Linked DNA regions of Cricetulus griseus. The protein of the gene in region 2 interacts with the protein of the main gene of each other region in a pairwise test. Links are inferred from orthologs where the notes say so. Each region holds a gene or a part of one and is shown on either strand. Other genes may lie near its edges. The genes, in order: Taf1d, Hap1, Hmox2 and CUNH8orf33.

Region 1 (4,095 bases), on a different chromosome or scaffold from region 2:
CAATTCTGCTCATTAAGTTCTTTTCTTTTTTCAAGACAGTTTCCTGGAACTCACTCTGTAGACCAGATTGGCCTTGACTCATTGATATCTGCCTGCCTCTGCCTCCCAAGTGCTGGGATTAAAGGCCTAGAAGCTCATTAAGGTTTTTTTATTTTTTTATTTTTGGTTTTTTGAGACAGGGTTTCTCTGTGTAGCTTGTGCTGGCCTCCAACTCACAGAGATTCGCCTGCCTCTGCCTCCAGAGTGTTAGGATAAAGAGTGAGGTGAACCTTGGCAGGTTTCATGGCGGGCGAGGTTGACCGAGGCCAAGGGACAAACATTCCAGGCAGACAGCTTAAATGAAGTTTTATTAGGAAGAGGCAGGCCAGCATAATGCCTGATCCTTACACCCAGTGCTGGGATTAAGGGCATGAGTCACCACCGCCTGGCAGTACACAACATAAAGATGGTAAAACTTGTATTAATAATTCTAAATTTTCCTTACTTATGGGGAAAACATAGTCTAGGCTGGCCTGGCAATCCTCCTTCAGACTCTCCAGTTCTGCGATTTGCCACAGTTCTCAGCTATTTGTCACTTTCGTTTTGAACAGGACCCTGCAATTTAAGTTTGCACTGGTCCTGAATGTGACAGTCTGAGATGCCTGTCTTAGAGCTTACAGCGAATGCACTGGCTGCTTGCAAGTACAGCAAGACCTTACTTTTAAGGCGTGTCCAATCATAAATGATAACAACTGTTGACTAAGGGCAAGCAGATCTGCTGGCTTGCTTGTCATACAATACAAAGGTGCAGCATGGAAAATAACTCAAAGCAGCTCACTACTGAAAAGAAAGTACTGTAGGGCTAAAAACTGTTTAGCCCTACACTGTTGAGTCAACTCAGGATCTGAAGGAGGAAGCCCATGCCTGCTGGAAGCTAACTCCTGAAGGGTGGGGTGCCCAAAGCACCTGGCACCCTTCCTCTGAGGGGGAACTCCGCACACAGTGGGCTCGGCCCCACAACATGCGGACGCTCACCTGACCCGCAGTGTCTTCACGCCTGCAGGAATGCCTTCTTCCCTTCACCTACCCAAGTTCAACGTCCTGCTCCCTTCCGCCAGCTCAAAGCCTAGGGGCGAGCCCGGTACCGCCTCTCGCGGAGGCCCCGCCCACTCCACAGTCCACGCACATAGCCACGCCTAGCACGTAGCCGCGCTCTCGTACCCACCCGCCGCTAAGAGCTCACGCGAGATCTCGGCCTGCCCTAGTCGGCTGCTGCGAGCTGGAACGTTCTTTTGGTCGCGGTGGAGGAGGGAGACGGGTGTGTTTGCGTTGGGCGCTCGGGTCTGGCGCGATCGGTCGGTGCGGGACTCGGAGACCGCGCGCGGGCCCGGGCTCTTTGGGCGGCTGTCCGCGCGCAGTCGGCGCTGTTGTCGGGTGAGGCGCAGCGGGCCACGCGTGGCTCCCGGTCGCTATCGGTCGCTGCCGGAAGGTTTTAGAGTGTCCCGTCGGGGCATTGTGCTGGTGCTGCCTTCCTAGGTCGAGAAGACCGCACAGGTAGGACTGATTTCTAGATAGGTTCCTCGTGTGTACTTGGCCATTACCCTTAGAATTTTCTCCGCTCTATCGTTGGTGCAAACGGGCCAAGTATGTTACGTTGCAATTTTGATGGGCTAATACTAAAAAACAATGGGGAATGGAGAAATGGCTCTACAGCTAAGAGCACCAGCTGCTCTATCAGGGGACGTGGGTTCAATTCCTAGCAGCCACGTGGTAGTTCACAACCATTTGTAATGGGCTCTGGTTCCTATTTCTGGTATGGGTGAAACCAATGCACTATCCGTAAAATAAGTCCCCTTTTAAAGGAAAAAAGTTAATAACCCGGGAGGTGGTGGTGCATTTCTTTAATTACAGCACTCAGGAGGAAGGCGGATCTTGAGTTCGAGGCCCCGCCTGCCTCTACCTCCTGGGGTTAAAGGCGCGCACCACCACCTGGCCAGTTGCGGCCCCTTTAAAGCTGCCTTGTGGGTGCTGGGAATTTAATCTGTCCACTCAAGAGCAGTCAGTATTCTTAAAGCTAAGCCATCTCTTCAGCTGACTCACCCTAGAGGTTCTATTGTTGGGATTACAGGCCCATTGGCCATTCGGGAAATTGAGGCATACACACTGAGTGGCTAAAAATTCAGCCTTCCTAGGGTAAACATCCGAATTAATGCTGTTTCACTGTGTGGCTGGCTGGTAGTAAAGCCACTCAGGTACTTTTGTTAAGTAGAATTAGAAAACACTGATTTGGAAAGTGGTCTCTCCTTTGCTTTCACTTGTAGATTAGAATTGAATGTGTGGGTATCCAGGAAGCCAGAAACATGCCATGTTGAAGTTGTGAGCTACCCAATGTGAGTGCTGGGAACTGAACTGTGGAAGGTTACACTTTAACTGCTGTGCTCCTCACGTGGATATTTTTTTTTTTAAGACAAGGTTTTTCTATATTGAATTAGAGCCTGTCCTGAAACTAACCTGGAACTCACAGGTCTGCCTGCCTCTGCCTCCCAAATGGCTGGGATTAAAGGCGTGCACCACCAACAGCTGGCTCACTTGGATGTTTTTAAAGATCTAAAGTGGACTATCCTTAGGTCGATTTTACCTAAAGTCACATGGTGGTATGGTGTATGTTGAACTTTTCATTAGAATGCTAGGTGCATCACACTGAAATTGTAATTGCAGAGATCGAGTAATGGCTCAATCAGAAGTGACTTCTGTTGACTGCATGACACCTGATAGAGCTGCAGACATTGGACATCAAAGGTAAGGCAGCTTTTGTGACTAAACACCCTAGAGTTGAGTCTAACTGTTCAGATTGACAGGTCTCAGTAGGTGGCCTCATTCAAAGATGATCCTGCCTATTTCTCCCAAGAGCTGGAATTAAAGGCTTATCACCACACCCATTTGAAAATGTTGGGTATGATTTTGGGGGAGCTGGCTTTGGAAGAAATGTACACTTAAATTTTTAATGTCTTCTCTTATGTGACTTATGAGTGAGTGCTTTGCCTACAGTCAGTATCATGTGTTCAGAAGAGGGTGTTGAACTCCATGAAACTTGAGTTACTAATGACCATGCTGCCTGAGGGTACAGCCTTGCCACTCGTGAATTGGATTGTTTCTAGTAACGACTCAGTGATGCAGTTTATTTTATTTTATTTTTTTAGCGATGACTCATCTGATAGCTTATTTAAAACACAGTACGTTCTTTCACCTACACGAAAGCAAAGAAACCCTACGACAAAACGTGTCACTTTACCTGCAAATGTTGACACTGACACATCAAGTGACTCCTCTATAGAACCAAGGCTTTTGACTTTAAAGGCTATTTTTGAAAGATTTAAGAAAAAGAAACGGAAAAAAAGGAAATACAAGCCAAAATTAAGACCAAGAGGAAGACCACCTGGAATAAAAAATGCTAGAAACCCTAGAAGGTCACAGATAGGTGTGAAGCAAATTAAAAACAAAGGAGCTGTGTTTCCATTCTTAGAATCTGAAAATGGAAGAAAACCCTTACCTTGGAAGAAAATTTTAACATATGAGGTGAGTCATTCTCATGTAAGTGAATACACTAGGAAATTGGAATGATTGTTGCCCCCATCTTTTCTTCCTGGTTTTTCCAGACATAGTTTCTCTGGGTTTGGGTGTTGTTGGCCATTTTTAATTTGAGGTCCACCTGGGACACATTTTGTTACTTTGACAATAAACAATGTGTTCTGTGTAAAGTCTGCTCAGGTTCCAGTGTTTCTGAGTGCACTGTTTTTAGTGTGTATACAAACTTAGAGAATAATGGTCCAAGTCTGTAAATGTACAAAATACCCTCATCTTAGTCTCTAAACTACTCTCAAGCATATCTTACCCAACTTTAAATTAAGTAGCCCATCAAACCAGTCATTTCAAAGTAAGCAGATGTTATTTCGTTCTTTTTATTTTTTATGTCATTTACTTTTTTGGGGGGGTGTTTCGATACAGGGTTTTCTGTGTAGCTTTGGAGCCTATCCTGGCACTCCTTTGGAGACCAGGGTGGCCTCGAACTCGCAGAAATCTGCCTGCCTCTGCCTCCCAAGTGCTGGGACTAAAGGC
Region 2 (4,097 bases):
GTACAGGGTGCTCTTCCAGAGGACCTGGGTTCTTTTCCCAGCTCACAGCCATATGTAATTCCAGCTCCAGGGGATCTGATGACCTATTGTGGCCTCTGTGGACAATAGGAGTGCAAGTGGTGCACAGAAGGAACAGGTAGGCAAAACACACATACACACAAAACAAGCCAATATTTAGGGAACTGGGTAGATGGTTCAATGGGCAAACTGCTGTGTAAGCTTAAGGGCCTGTGTTTAGATCCCTAGCAAGGCACCTGTCTATAAACCCCAGGGTTGAGGGTGGGGTGGAGTTAAGCCGATGCCTGGGGCTCACTGTACAGATAGTCTAGTCAAAGTACTGCACTCGAGATTCAGCGAGAGACCCTGTCTCAAAAAATGAGGTGGAGAGCGAGGGCAACACCTGATGTTGACCACTGTCTTCCACCCACAGACACGGACACATTCTTATACCACAAATAAAAATTTAAAATCAGCAGGGTGTGGTGGTACAAACCTTTAATCACAGCACTCAGGATGCATACATATTTGTAAAAAGGTAAAGTCTGTAGGCTTGCAACTGGAAGGCGGTGGAGGAGAATGGATGACATCAAGAATGATTTTGAGACCTTAGTCAATGAGTCACGCATCTCCTTTTAACCTGTCTCCCAGTCTAAACGCACAGAAATGGCTACTGCCCTGCTTAGCTCCCACCCCAAGCCCAGTTCATTCTGGACTTAAGAGAACCTTCCCAGGTATCCAGTTTTCTGGGGAGCACACCATCCATGGGCTGAAGGGCACAGGTCTAAGAAGACCGACATCGGTCCTTTCAGACCTCGGGATAACGGATGCTTTGGGGAGAGGGGTGTGCGGGCGCGCGCGGGGCGTGGGAAGGGGCTCCTGGAAGAGTGGTCACAGCTAAACATTTAAGCGGGATCTCCTCGGAAGATGCTCATTCTGGAATCTCTGAAGAACAAGGACGGTAGGCCTTGCGAATCAGGGTTGGAAATAAAGAACGAGCGAACGCACTAAGATGGAAGACGTCCAGGGGCGAGTGCGGGAGTGCGAGCGCGAGGACCTGTGGGTGACACGCAACACGTTGAAAGCCAAACCAGAGTTTGCATTTCTCGCTTAATCCACCTGGGAAGACCCAGGCGTACTGCCCTGACTCGCAGGTCACCCTGGCCTCTATTCAACGTTGGGTATGACAACAGAAAAGGCAGCTGGAAGCCCGAGGGGCGGGAGCACCCGCGGGTGGGGGGGAAGCTGGGAGGGGGGAGCTGCTTCTAGACAGAAGCTCGGGGTCCCTCGGCCCAAGTCCAGGGAAGCGACGGCTTTGGACAGAACCATTCTCAGAGAATGGAGGAGGCGCGGGAGATCTTCACCGTGAACCCGATCCCGCAGAGCCAACTGGGAACTCGTTCGTCTCTTTCTTTCCTCTTTTAAATATGTTGTTTCATGTCCCATCACCATTGCCGCTCTCTCTGTCACGATCCTGAGTCCTCAGTACCGCCACTTGATCTTCGGTCACCCCCAGCAACACGCGTGGTACAGCCCAGTGGAGCCCGCTCCGGCACAGGTTATAAAGGCTCGGCTGCGGCAGCCCACTGCGGAGTCAAGATGCGCCCGAAGGAACAGGTGCAAAACAGTGCGGGGGAAGGGACGGGGTCCGGGGACTCAGCAGCGGGCACCCCCGCGACCCAGCCTGCGGCCAGTCCGACCCCAGAGCCCTCGGCGGAGCCCAAAGCTGCTCCGGCGCAGGGAACCGGGTCCGGACAGCGAGCTCCGGGATCCCGAGTCAAGACGGGAAGCTTTTGTCGGTCCATGATCGTCGGCAATTCGGACGCCCCATGGACCCGCTACGTATTCCAGGGGCCTTATGGTCCCCGGGCCAGTGGCCTGGGCTCTGGGAAGGCCGAGGGGATCTGGAAGACGCCAGCCGCGTACATCGGCAGGAGGCCCTGCGTGTCCGGCCCTGAGCGCGCGGCGTTTATTCGAGAGCTGCAGGAAGGTAAACTGAGTCTATGGGATCCCGCACTGGCTGCTACTAGGGCATCTCCGGAGAGGAGGGGCCCACCGACTCAGGCGCCCCGCCCCCGCGAGATCGCTGTCCGCGGTGCCCGTTTAGTCTCCCTCTCCATCTTTTCCTCTCTTTCGGGTTCCACGATTTTTGCGGGTGCGTCAGGTCCAGGGCTTGCGCGCTCCCCGCCCCCTCTTCGCGCCTGTTGCTGTGCAGATCTGCGCACTCTCAGTGCCCCCTCCCCGTCTACCGCAGTGCCAGCAGAGGGGCGGGGGCTGCCAGAGGAGCTGCTGGTGGCTCTCTGAGCCTGCGCTAGCCCGTGGGATCAGCCTGCGTGGGTGGCTGGAGGGGGAGCTTTTGACCACTACTTGGCTGCAGGGCTCTGGGTAGTGCTTTCCTGGAGCAGGGCTGAGGCGGGAGGAGTGGGCGGGGCACAGGGTTTCTGTCCCTCCTCTTCTGAGTGGGGGGGGGGAGTGAGGGGGCAGTTTTAGATTCAGGGCTTCTGGGTGCCGAAGAAGCTTCCTTGGCTGTCTTGTCACACGCAACAGGTGTAAGATGGGTGACTGCATCTGTTTTTATGACCGAGGAGGCTCCAGTGAGCTGGCTTCGCTGCGGATTGGGTCAGGCGGATTGGGTCTGCAGCTGTTATTTCCCCTGACTTTATATCTCTACGGACCAAGGACCCAGGGGTCCTCGGAGTCCAGTTCCTGAGCCGGGAGGATGGTTTTGCTCTTAGAGCAGTCAGGCCCCTCCTGAGGAAGCAGGAGCTGTGGAGAGAGGGTGGTAGGGCTGGATGATTGCAGTCTCCTGGCTCCATGACCTTTGGTGTGAGGGACACTGTGGGCTCTGAGCAGCCTCGGCTGGCTCCTTTCCCTGACTCACTCGGGCCTTTCCTCCTGCAGCACTGTGTCCTAACCCACCTCCCACAAAGAAGATCACCGAAGATGATATCAAAGTGATGCTGTATTTGCTGGAAGAGGTGGGTACTGTCTTCCTCATCCAGGCCAGCCATCGTTTTAACTGCCTGCAGGACTTAGGGATTTTGTCTGTTTTTCTATTTGCCTGGGGGCCAGCTTGAGGGCCCCTCTCCTGGAAGGCCAAGTGGCTTTCAGGGGGCCAGTCTGGGCTGATCTTATTCCCCGCCCCCCATAATGGGAAACTGAGTTAGACCCTAGGGGTGGTTAACAGTGTCTGATCTAGCACCTGGAAAACCAGGTGTTGCAGAGGCTTTCTTCTTGTAGCCTAGCCCTAGTTTCTGCTCCTGTTTGGGAGGTCCCAGAAAGTGGGAATGTATGAACGGGTGGCTCTCCTTTTGCAGAAAGAACGGGACCTGAACACAGCCGCTCGCATTGGCCAGTCCCTGGTGAAACAGAACAGTGTTTTGATGGAGGAGAATAACAAGCTGGAAACCATGTTGGGCTCAGCCAGGGAGGAGGTATCTGGGTACCTAAGGGAGAAGGGGAGGGGTCAGTGTGTTCTCTCCCCCAAACTAGCACCTGTCCTGTGCCTTCATCCTCACCCTCCAGTGGCTTCTCTCTCCTCCCCTAGATCTTACATCTCCGGAAGCAGGTAAACCTGCGAGATGACCTCCTTCAGCTCTACTCGGACTCCGATGAGGATGATGAGGAGGATGAAGAGGAAGAAGAGGAGGAGGAGGAGGAAGGGGAGGAACACGAAGGACAGTGGGATCAAGATCAGCAGCATGATCATCCTTACGGTGCCCCCAAGCCGTATGTGTTCTGCCTTTGTGCCTGGACCATCCCTTTTCTCGGAGCCTCAGTTGCTCATTTGTAGACAGGGGCATAGACAGTGAGCCTGCCAGGAGCGCTGTTGGGCCTTGCATGCCACGGCCACCCTTATCCAGTATGGGGAAGCCTTGGGGACTGGGATCCGCCATCATCCCTGCCCCTCCCTGCATGCTGACTTTCATTGCCCTGTTACCAGGCCCCCTAAGGTGGAGACAGAGCACAGCTGCCCACAGCTGGAAGCCCTGCAGCAGAAGCTGAGGCTCTTGGAGGAAGAGAATGACCACCTTCGAGAGGAGGTGAGGACAGGGTGGAGGGCATGCCTTTGGCTGAGAACGGTGACAGCCTTGCCCCTT
Region 3 (4,012 bases), about 71 Mb from region 2:
ACCACTACCTCAGGCTGAATGGGCTGATCCTGCTGTCTATCCTCATTGTGGCTGGAGAATGGATGCCTGATACTAAGACCTTGCTCCTGTCTTATATACTTCCCTAATGCTGGGATTAAAGGTGTGTGATCCCAGCTGCTTAGATCACCTTTGTGTGAACTGTTTCTCTTTAGGACTGGATTAATCTTGTGTATATCTGGGTGGCCTTGGACTCACATAGATCCATCTACCTCTTAATCCTGAGTCCTAGGATTAAAGTGAACCAACACCACCTAGCTTCTGGATGCTGGGATTAAAGGTGTGTGCTCATTCCAACTTAACATTCTCCTATAATTCTTATTTAACTGGAGTATCTTTTAATGTCATGCAGTGGTTTTTCTATTTATGCCTCTCTGGGTCTTGAAAGTGTATAAAATATACAAGTATATAGGAATAGCTACCCAGAAGTGGAATCGTTAGTTGGTCTTGATAACACAAACCTGTGGTCCTGGCTCAGGGTAGTGTGAGGTAGGAGAATTGTTTTGTTTTGTTTTTTTTCAAGACAGGGGATCTCTGTAGTTTATGAAGGCTGTCCTGGAACTCACTCAGTAGGCCAGGCAGAGATCTGCCTGTCTCTGCCTCCGGGAGTGCTGGTATTAAAGGCGTGAGACACCACTGCCAAGCTGAGATAGGAGAATCTTGAGCTTCCAGACTGTATAAGCAAGATCTTAAAAAAAAATTAAAAATAAAAATTTTGATTAAGTGCATTTGTGTGTGGGTATATGTGCATGTGCTGGTGGAGGCCAGAAGAGAGCGTTAGTTTTCCTTTTCTTTCTGTCTTTGTTTTTTGGGTTTGTTTGTTTGTTTTGAATTTTTTTTTTGCGGTGTTACAATGCAATAATCCTTTCTCAGAGTTACACCCCCAATCCCCCATCTTTTTTTTGTTTGTTTTGTTTTTTGTTATTTATTGACAAACTCTCTGAGTTTAAGCTTAAACTCAGGGCAATCCTCCTGCCTCCCTCCCCGCGCCGAGTCCTGGGATTCCAGGCTTGAGCCACCACTCTCAACCAACTAACAGTAGGTTTTGGTTGACACACTTCCTCTCCTGAATACTACCTCTGCCGATTGATTCTGCGTGGCAGGCAGTATCCGCAGAGCCACTCGCCTCCAGCTAGCTGCGGCGCGCTGGGGGCGTGGCCTGTCAGTCCCCGCCCCCCTCTGCGTGCGCACGTCCCGCCGTCCTCGCGCTAGCCCGCTCGGCTAACGCGGCGCTGAGGGAGTCCCTGACGCAGAGACTGACGGACCTGCCAAGCGGCAGAGGGTGAGTGGTCCGCACCGTTCCCGGCCTTGCCCGCCCGGGTCCTCGCTTGCCAGAAGCCTTCCTCCAGAGCTCTGCTCGGCTGGCCCTCCGCGACTCGGCCGCCAGCCTGAGGGGACATCCGGACGAGGGGGCGGCCGGAAGCGGGCTGAGGCCGGCGATCGGGAGACGGGGGTCGGGGAGGGGGCACCGAGCGGGCCTCGAGCGTCAGGTGAGCCCGAAACTGCATGTGCCGCGCCCTAGAAGACTTTTGACCTCCGCACCCAAGCGTCGTCTGGTGTCCCCGTGGGACCCAGCCCCTCCCAGCGTCCCGAATGCTCTTGAGGAGGTGACTCCGGGGTCGAAGATAGTGCAGCCCTGGAGCCCACCTGAGGTCCCGGAGGAGCCCCGGGCGTGGCGGCCTTCTTGGCCCGCTCTCCAGTGACTCCCCTTGTTAGGAAGATCCTTTAGAATCACTGTGGGGATTTCATGAGTGATCGATCTCTGGTGCAGAATGCAAGACTGGGAGGACTCAGCCTTAGATGCAGCCAGTTGGTCTGGACGGGGAGGTCACCTGTCACCTCCAAAGCACAGGGCTCTAGGTGACTTAATTGCCCTGTAAAAACTGCCAGGACCGCCTTACACAGTGTTTGCACAAGGGCTGTCTGTGTCATGCCATTTAAATTGGTTTTGAAGGACCGGTTGTTGTGACTAGTTGCTGTTGATCCTTACTGTTTTCTATTGCTGGCGCCACAAACTCAACAAGAGGGAGTGTGACCCAGGGACATAAACACCATATAATGCTGTCCAGTTGAGGGAGACCTCCTGTCCTTCAACCCTTTCTCAGCCCTTATGTTTTCCCACCTTTAAAATGAGATCATTTAGAGACCGGTGAAGTAAATCGACTAACATCCCACTGGCAAGGTAATGGCACGGATGATCTCTTAATTCTAGTGGCCTGCCTGGACGCCCTGTGTTCTTTCAGATTAGACATTGGAGATTAGAAATGGTTGTTTAAAGGCTGGGCGTTGGTGGCGCACGCCTTTAATCCCAGCACTCGGGAGGCAGAGGCAGACATATCTCTGTGAGGCCAGCCTGGTTTCCAGAGCAAGTGCCAGGATAGGCTCCAAAGCTACACAGAGAAACCCTGTCTCGGAAAAAAAAAAAAAAAAAAAAAAGAAAGAAAAGAAAAAAAGAAATGGTTGTTTAAGTGGTCATACTGGCCTTAAGCAGTTCAGTCATGTAGAAGGAAATAAGCCTATCACAGGTTTTGTGCTTTTCTATTTCTGGTGTGGTGCTATTTATAATAATTATTATAAACTTTATCATATATAATGAATAATAATTATTACTAATACAAACATTTTTTGATGGTGGAGGTTGAACATCATGAGCACATATTTAATCACTGAACCCTCAGCCCTGCCTAGTGCTTTGTATTTGAGAAAAGGGATCCTTGCTATGTCTGGGATGGCTGAATGTGATACCCTTCTGCCTCCATCTCCTAAGTGCCCCAGCCTTAACCATCTTTTTCCTTTGGGACAGGGTCTCTGTTAAAATTATTTAGCCCTTACTGTCCTTAAACTGGCTGTGTAGGCAGGCTTCAACTCACAGAGATCTATTGCCTCTGCTTCCCCAGTGCTGTGATTAAATGTGTATACCATCATGCTGGGAGCTAACTGTATGTTTTGATTGCAGGATTATTAATGCTTTTAGTTTCTTTGAGGAGTGAAAAGTGTTTATTCAGAACTTTTTTTTTTTCTCCAGAATCATCACAAAATGTAATCTTTGCTTGCTAGGAGTTGCCAGTTCAGTAGGACATTTAATCAGTTCACTTGATAAAATTGGTAAACATTGTCTAACACAGTGCCTCAGCTAAAACACTGATTAGGGTGTGACAATCTGTGAGCCTTGGAAAATTGCATGCTCGGTGAATGACCTGATACTGCTGGGGACATGAAGAGGAAATCCTGTGGTTCCTCCATATTTAGACTTGAGTTCCTTTTTTCTTTGCTCAGGGCAGTCAGTTGAGATGCTGTTGAGTCACCAGAGTCAAAGAGACAGAGAGATTTTCTTACTTGTTAAAAAATTATGAGTGTTCATGAGAGCTTTCATATTTTCCGGCTTGTAGAAGTTGATTCTTCTTCCACTGTGAGTTCTAGCAGTAAAGCTCAGATCAGGTGGTTAAGCTTGCACATTTATGAGATGAACAGTCTTGCTGCCCAAGAGATTTTTTGTTGTTGTTGTTTTTTTGTTTTTTTCAAGACAGGGTTTCTCTGTGTAGCTTTGGAGCCTATCCTGGCACTCGCTCTGGAGACCAGGATGGCCTCCAACTCACAGAGATCCACCTGCCTCTGCCTCCCGGGTGCTGGGATTAAAGGCGAGCGCCACCAACGCCCGGCCCAAGAGATTTTTTTAAAAAGATGTATTTATGTTATGTATGAGTGCTCTATCTACAAGTACACCTTAATGTCAGAAGAGGCCATCAGATCCCATTATAGATGGTTGTGAGCCACCATGTGCATGCTGGGAATTAAACTCAGGACCTCTGGAAGAGTGGCCAGTGCTCTTAACTGCTGAGCCATCTCTCCAGACCCTGAAAGAGATTTTTTTTTTTAATTAGTTATTCTGTTGAAGTCTTAAAATTTGAGAGGGAAGGAGGATACCGTATGGGAGTTGGTTCTCTCTTTACACTTACATGGTGGGCCCCAGGAATCAGTCTCATACTTGGTGAAA
Region 4 (4,209 bases), on a different chromosome or scaffold from region 2:
GCTACCTCAATTAAATGTTTTCTTTATAAGAGTTGCCATGGTCATGGTGTCTCTTCACAGCAATAAAAAACCCTAACTAAGACATAGTTATATATTAAAACATAAACGAAGTGGATCCCTTCTGAGGAATGATACCTGAGAATGACCTCAGTTCTACACACACACAAAGAGCTACTCACCCCAGAAAGGGAATCCATGACAGACCGAAGTTACGACTGCACCAACTTGGTGAACTAATGAGTTTTTGTTGGGGTTACTAACAGGAGTATGAGTGAAGGGTTACTTACAAGGAGCAGGGATGACTCAAAAACTACTGCGCCATTGGAAAATCCTACTGGGGGAAGTGAAGCCCTGGAGCTCTCTGGATAGCCTGTAGGCAGTTTCAAAGACTGAGAACCCTCTTCACATGGGGTTGTCACTCCTTTTTATACAGCTGGCAAGGACCTTTCTGTTTTCACAGACCTTTTGTTTTCCTCCAGAACCTCACAAACTTCCTCATTCCATCCCGTCAGGGATTCTGAGGAAAATACCATACAACAGTAATTATGGGGTGTTCCTCAAGATTTGAAAAGAAATGTACCAATAATTTGGTACTTGTAGAAGATAAGCTCACAGTGCTAAAAGGGACTAAGACAAGGTTTGTTCTGGAGCCATTTTGAGTGACCATGGCCCAGGAACACAGGTTTAGGTTGTCCTAAAATCCATGTTCTAAGGTGGAAACAGGTTTCACAAGGCTTTAGTTTTACAGAACAATGAAAGTCATAAATCAAGGCAAATTTACACTGGTGGATACACCAGAAAGTTACAATGAGATGGGGAAACATTTCTATAGGCCCAAGATGTTACTGAAGCTTTGGGGTTAGTGGAAGTTAGTGGTCTGCTAAGTAAACAGATTCTAAAAGGTCTTTTATCTATTATTCACAGCAAGATGTTAGTTCTGACAGAGATGGGCAAGGAGTAGCTGTTCTAGAAGTAGTCCAAGATAAGGTGATTAGCCACTAGACCTTCAGCATTCCAGTATCTCCATATTACTGTAGTACTGTAAATCAGTCTGCACACAAAGCTTCTTTGTTTTATTGGATTTATTTTTATTATTTTATGTATATGACTGTTTTGCGTGCATGTACGTCAGCGCATCACATTCGGGCCTGGTGCCCTTGGAGGTAGTAAGCCTCCATGTGGGTGCTGGGAATGGAACCCAGGTCCTATGTAACAAGAAGTGCTTTTAACCACTGAGCCAACACTCCAGCCCCTCCCCCTTTAATGTCTATTTTTTAGTACTTATGTTTTGTGTGTATGTGTGTACACCCACGCGCGCGTGCGCCCCGCCCCACCTCTGGGCTTTCTGCCCCGCCCCGCGGGGAGGGAGGGTTGTTCCATCCCTATCTCGCCGCGCATTCGTCTGGTTTCTCAGCGATGCACTCTGCTGGGTTCTCCGAAGCCTCCACGTTTGTTCCTGCGCTCTTTCTGTCCGGATCCTCTCAGAGTTGCAGGCCCAGATCCACGGAGTGCTCCCCGCCCCTCCCGGAGCGCTTGCCCCTGCTACTCCGCCTGCAGGGTCCGCGGCGCCTTCTGCGGAACTCCGGGCCATAGACGCATTTCCGGAGGACTGAGTTCACTGTTTTAGTCAGGACTTCCGGTCACCGCTACGGCGCATGGCGGTGAGCTTTGGAAGAAGGCGTTTGCGTGGCGAGGCCCTGGGTGTGGGGCCCCTGTGAATTTCCTCCTGTTCCACGTTTTTCAGGCGTTAGGGCGTCCTGCTCGGGAGGCACCAGCAGCCTCAAGCCGGAGAACTCAACGCGCTGCGCGCAGACCTCGGCTCCCCCGTCCTGCTTGCGGTGCCGCAGATCCGCCCCTTGTCAGTTTAGTGCAACCTGCTTGTGACTCTGCCACCAGAGCACATCCCACAGGCAACACTGTGTCGATGAAGCAAAAGAAGAAGAAAATCCCGAACAGGGTCTCTGGGACAAATGGAGACGGAAAGATCTCCGAGAAACCTGTCCTAGACGAAGCTCCCCCCAGTGCTGAAGCCCAGGTAAGGGTGGGATTCCCTGTGAGCTTTCTGGGTGCTAGCTAGTCCTCCTGAGAGTGTGGTCTAGTTGTGCGGAATTAAGGCACTGAAGGGATGGGACTGGCTGGGGTCTGCCGAGTCCTGATGCCTATGACAGCCATGACCTTCTTTCCACCCCAGGCGGAGCAACTGGCGAGGGAGCTGGCCTGGTGTGTGGAACAGCTAGAGCTGGGACTCAAGACGCAGAAACCCACCCCGAAGCAGAGTGAGAGCCCCTTCTTTATAGTTAGGGAAATGTAAATGGTGATAGTGCTGTAGCCTGATGGTATTGCCAGGGGATGGAATTGTTGCTTTTGTAGGGAGTATGTATGAAGTTACCAGCTCCTTATTTTTATCTGCAGAAGAGCAGGCTGTTGGGGCAATCCGAACCTTGCGCAGTGAAAAAACCCCCCTGCCCCGGAAGAGACAGCTGATGCGATCCTTGTTTGGGGACTACAGGGCTCAAATGGATGCCGAATGGCAGGAAGCCCTGAGGGCTCTAAGGACTGGTGAGGAACCGGGAAGTGATTGATTCAGTTTATGTACTTCAAAGAGGTAGGGAGAAGCTCAGCTCAGCAAGGTTGGTGCTGGAGGAAATGGGCACAGGGAAAACCCTAAGCAGGAAGAATGTATATACCTTTCTGGGCTCCTGGAATCAGGAGAACCCTGGTCCTCACCTTGTTCTGTTTTTGGGGTGGGAAAACCCAGCTCACCTGTCTAGGCCTTGGTTCACTCCACTGACCACAAAGCCAGGTACCATGGGTTCAAATCCTGGATCTGTTATTTAGATCTTAACAGTTTAGCTAGTTACTGGGTCTCTGAATCTCATCAGGGAATGACAATATCATCATTATAGGAACATTGTGGGGGCAATCATAACTGCATGGATATTGTTAACTGTTACTCAGTTCTGACTCTTCGCTCCACCTTCCTACAGCTACCCATTCAGCCCGAGTACAGCTTGTAGGAGAGACTGCCAGAAAGAAGAGTGGAAGGGTCTGTAGGCCTCGTCCAACAGGAAGAACCAAGGCCACTGTGGACTTTCCTGATGAAGAATTTCGGTTCAATTTCTTTTAGATTCTCCTACATTCTGGACTAGTCATCCTCCTCCAGGGTGGTGTGACCATTTGTCTTGAATATAGGGGTCTTTCTATGAACTCTTTTGGCAGAAGTAGGATTGCTTTGTCTCTAATTGGTTTGTGGACATGAAACTGCTGCCCCGGGTGAGACTGTCCTTGAACTTCTCAAGGAAATGTTCCTCCTGTCAGAAGAGAGGTGCTTTGGGAACTCCTCTGTGCTAAGCCTGAGTGTTGAGTGGATTGCAGGAATTGTGCTCCAGTCTCTGGGAATAACTGTTGGTGGTAAGGAACTGAAGAATCTGTGTACTTTTGAAAGGATCAACCTAATAAATATGTTTTTATTTTTTTAAAAAAATAGGTGATGAATGGAAGCTTGTGATGTCTATGGTGGATGGAGTTAGGTGGGGCAGGGACTGCCTTTACTTGGTACAGCTCTGATGTCAGGGTTTAGGTCTTTGTCCATGTTGTCTCTTTTTCTGAGGAGGTTGTCATCTTCAGAGAGCCAGTGTGGCCTCCATCAGGCCATCATTTGTTCTTGAGCTGCATGCTTTAACTTGAACTGTGTTTTAGCAGACTTGTGTCTTTTTTTAAAAAAAAACCTTTATTTATTTGTGTGAGTGTGTATGTGTGTGTATGAGCATGCTAGGCACATGTGTGTAGGTCAGAGGTTTAACCTCTCAAGGATTAATCTCAGCCTCTAGATTTGGTGGCAGTTGCCTTTACTCACTAAGCCATTTTGCCAGCCCACACACTGCCTCTTTATGGGTACTGAACCCTCTGCTATACTGAGTTGAGATTTTCAGGTGTTCACACCAATGTAATCTGGTGTTGCCCAAAGTCAAATCCCAGACTAGATATAATCTGGAGTCCAGCTGTATTCAACATTTTCTGTATGAATATTCTGTGAGCAGTTCAAACTCAGAATGTTGCAGAATACCTAATTAGGCCCTGGGTCTCCCTTTCCTTTTTAGTCAGTGATATTCACTGCCTTGTCTAGTTGGTTATTAGGCCAGAAACCTATGTCATTCTTGATTTCTCTCTTTTTCCAACACTATGTATTCAATACTTAGTGTTATCGTA

What was found.
Region 1: the proteins of Hap1 (region 2) and Taf1d interact in a two-hybrid assay, tested with the Homo sapiens proteins (2 studies listed by BioGRID and IntAct). The link is inferred for Cricetulus griseus from reciprocal best matches to the Homo sapiens genes HAP1 and TAF1D.
Region 3: the proteins of Hap1 (region 2) and Hmox2 interact in a two-hybrid assay, tested with the Homo sapiens proteins (2 studies listed by BioGRID and IntAct). The link is inferred for Cricetulus griseus from reciprocal best matches to the Homo sapiens genes HAP1 and HMOX2.
Region 4: the proteins of Hap1 (region 2) and CUNH8orf33 interact in a two-hybrid assay, tested with the Homo sapiens proteins (2 studies listed by BioGRID and IntAct). The link is inferred for Cricetulus griseus from reciprocal best matches to the Homo sapiens genes HAP1 and C8orf33.

What each region holds. Positions count from the first base shown.
Region 1 is NC_048597.1:128,814,788-128,818,882, forward strand, and holds the start of Taf1d (TATA box-binding protein-associated factor RNA polymerase I subunit D), read left to right. Parts: upstream 1-1,243; 5' UTR 1,244-1,533; intron 1,534-2,697; 5' UTR 2,698-2,707; coding exon 2,708-2,778; intron 2,779-3,179; coding exon 3,180-3,555; intron 3,556-4,095. UniProt on the Homo sapiens protein: Component of the transcription factor SL1/TIF-IB complex, which is involved in the assembly of the PIC (preinitiation complex) during RNA polymerase I-dependent transcription.
Region 2 is NC_048600.1:113,415,101-113,419,197, reverse strand, and holds the start of Hap1 (huntingtin-associated protein 1), read left to right. Parts: upstream 1-1,293; 5' UTR 1,294-1,434; coding exon 1,435-1,987; intron 1,988-2,898; coding exon 2,899-2,975; intron 2,976-3,314; coding exon 3,315-3,431; intron 3,432-3,544; coding exon 3,545-3,726; intron 3,727-3,940; coding exon 3,941-4,040; intron 4,041-4,097. UniProt on the Homo sapiens protein: Originally identified as neuronal protein that specifically associates with HTT/huntingtin and the binding is enhanced by an expanded polyglutamine repeat within HTT possibly affecting HAP1 interaction properties.
Region 3 is NC_048600.1:41,928,597-41,932,608, reverse strand, and holds the start of Hmox2 (heme oxygenase 2), read left to right. Parts: upstream 1-1,188; 5' UTR 1,189-1,300; intron 1,301-4,012.
Region 4 is NC_048595.1:374,229,194-374,233,402, forward strand, and holds CUNH8orf33 (UPF0488 protein C8orf33 homolog), read left to right. Parts: upstream 1-1,380; 5' UTR 1,381-1,655; coding exon 1,656-1,661; intron 1,662-1,744; coding exon 1,745-2,035; intron 2,036-2,191; coding exon 2,192-2,276; intron 2,277-2,412; coding exon 2,413-2,559; coding exon of another isoform or gene 2,560-2,582; exon of another isoform or gene 2,583-2,605; intron 2,606-2,987; coding exon 2,988-3,127; 3' UTR 3,128-3,742; downstream 3,743-4,209.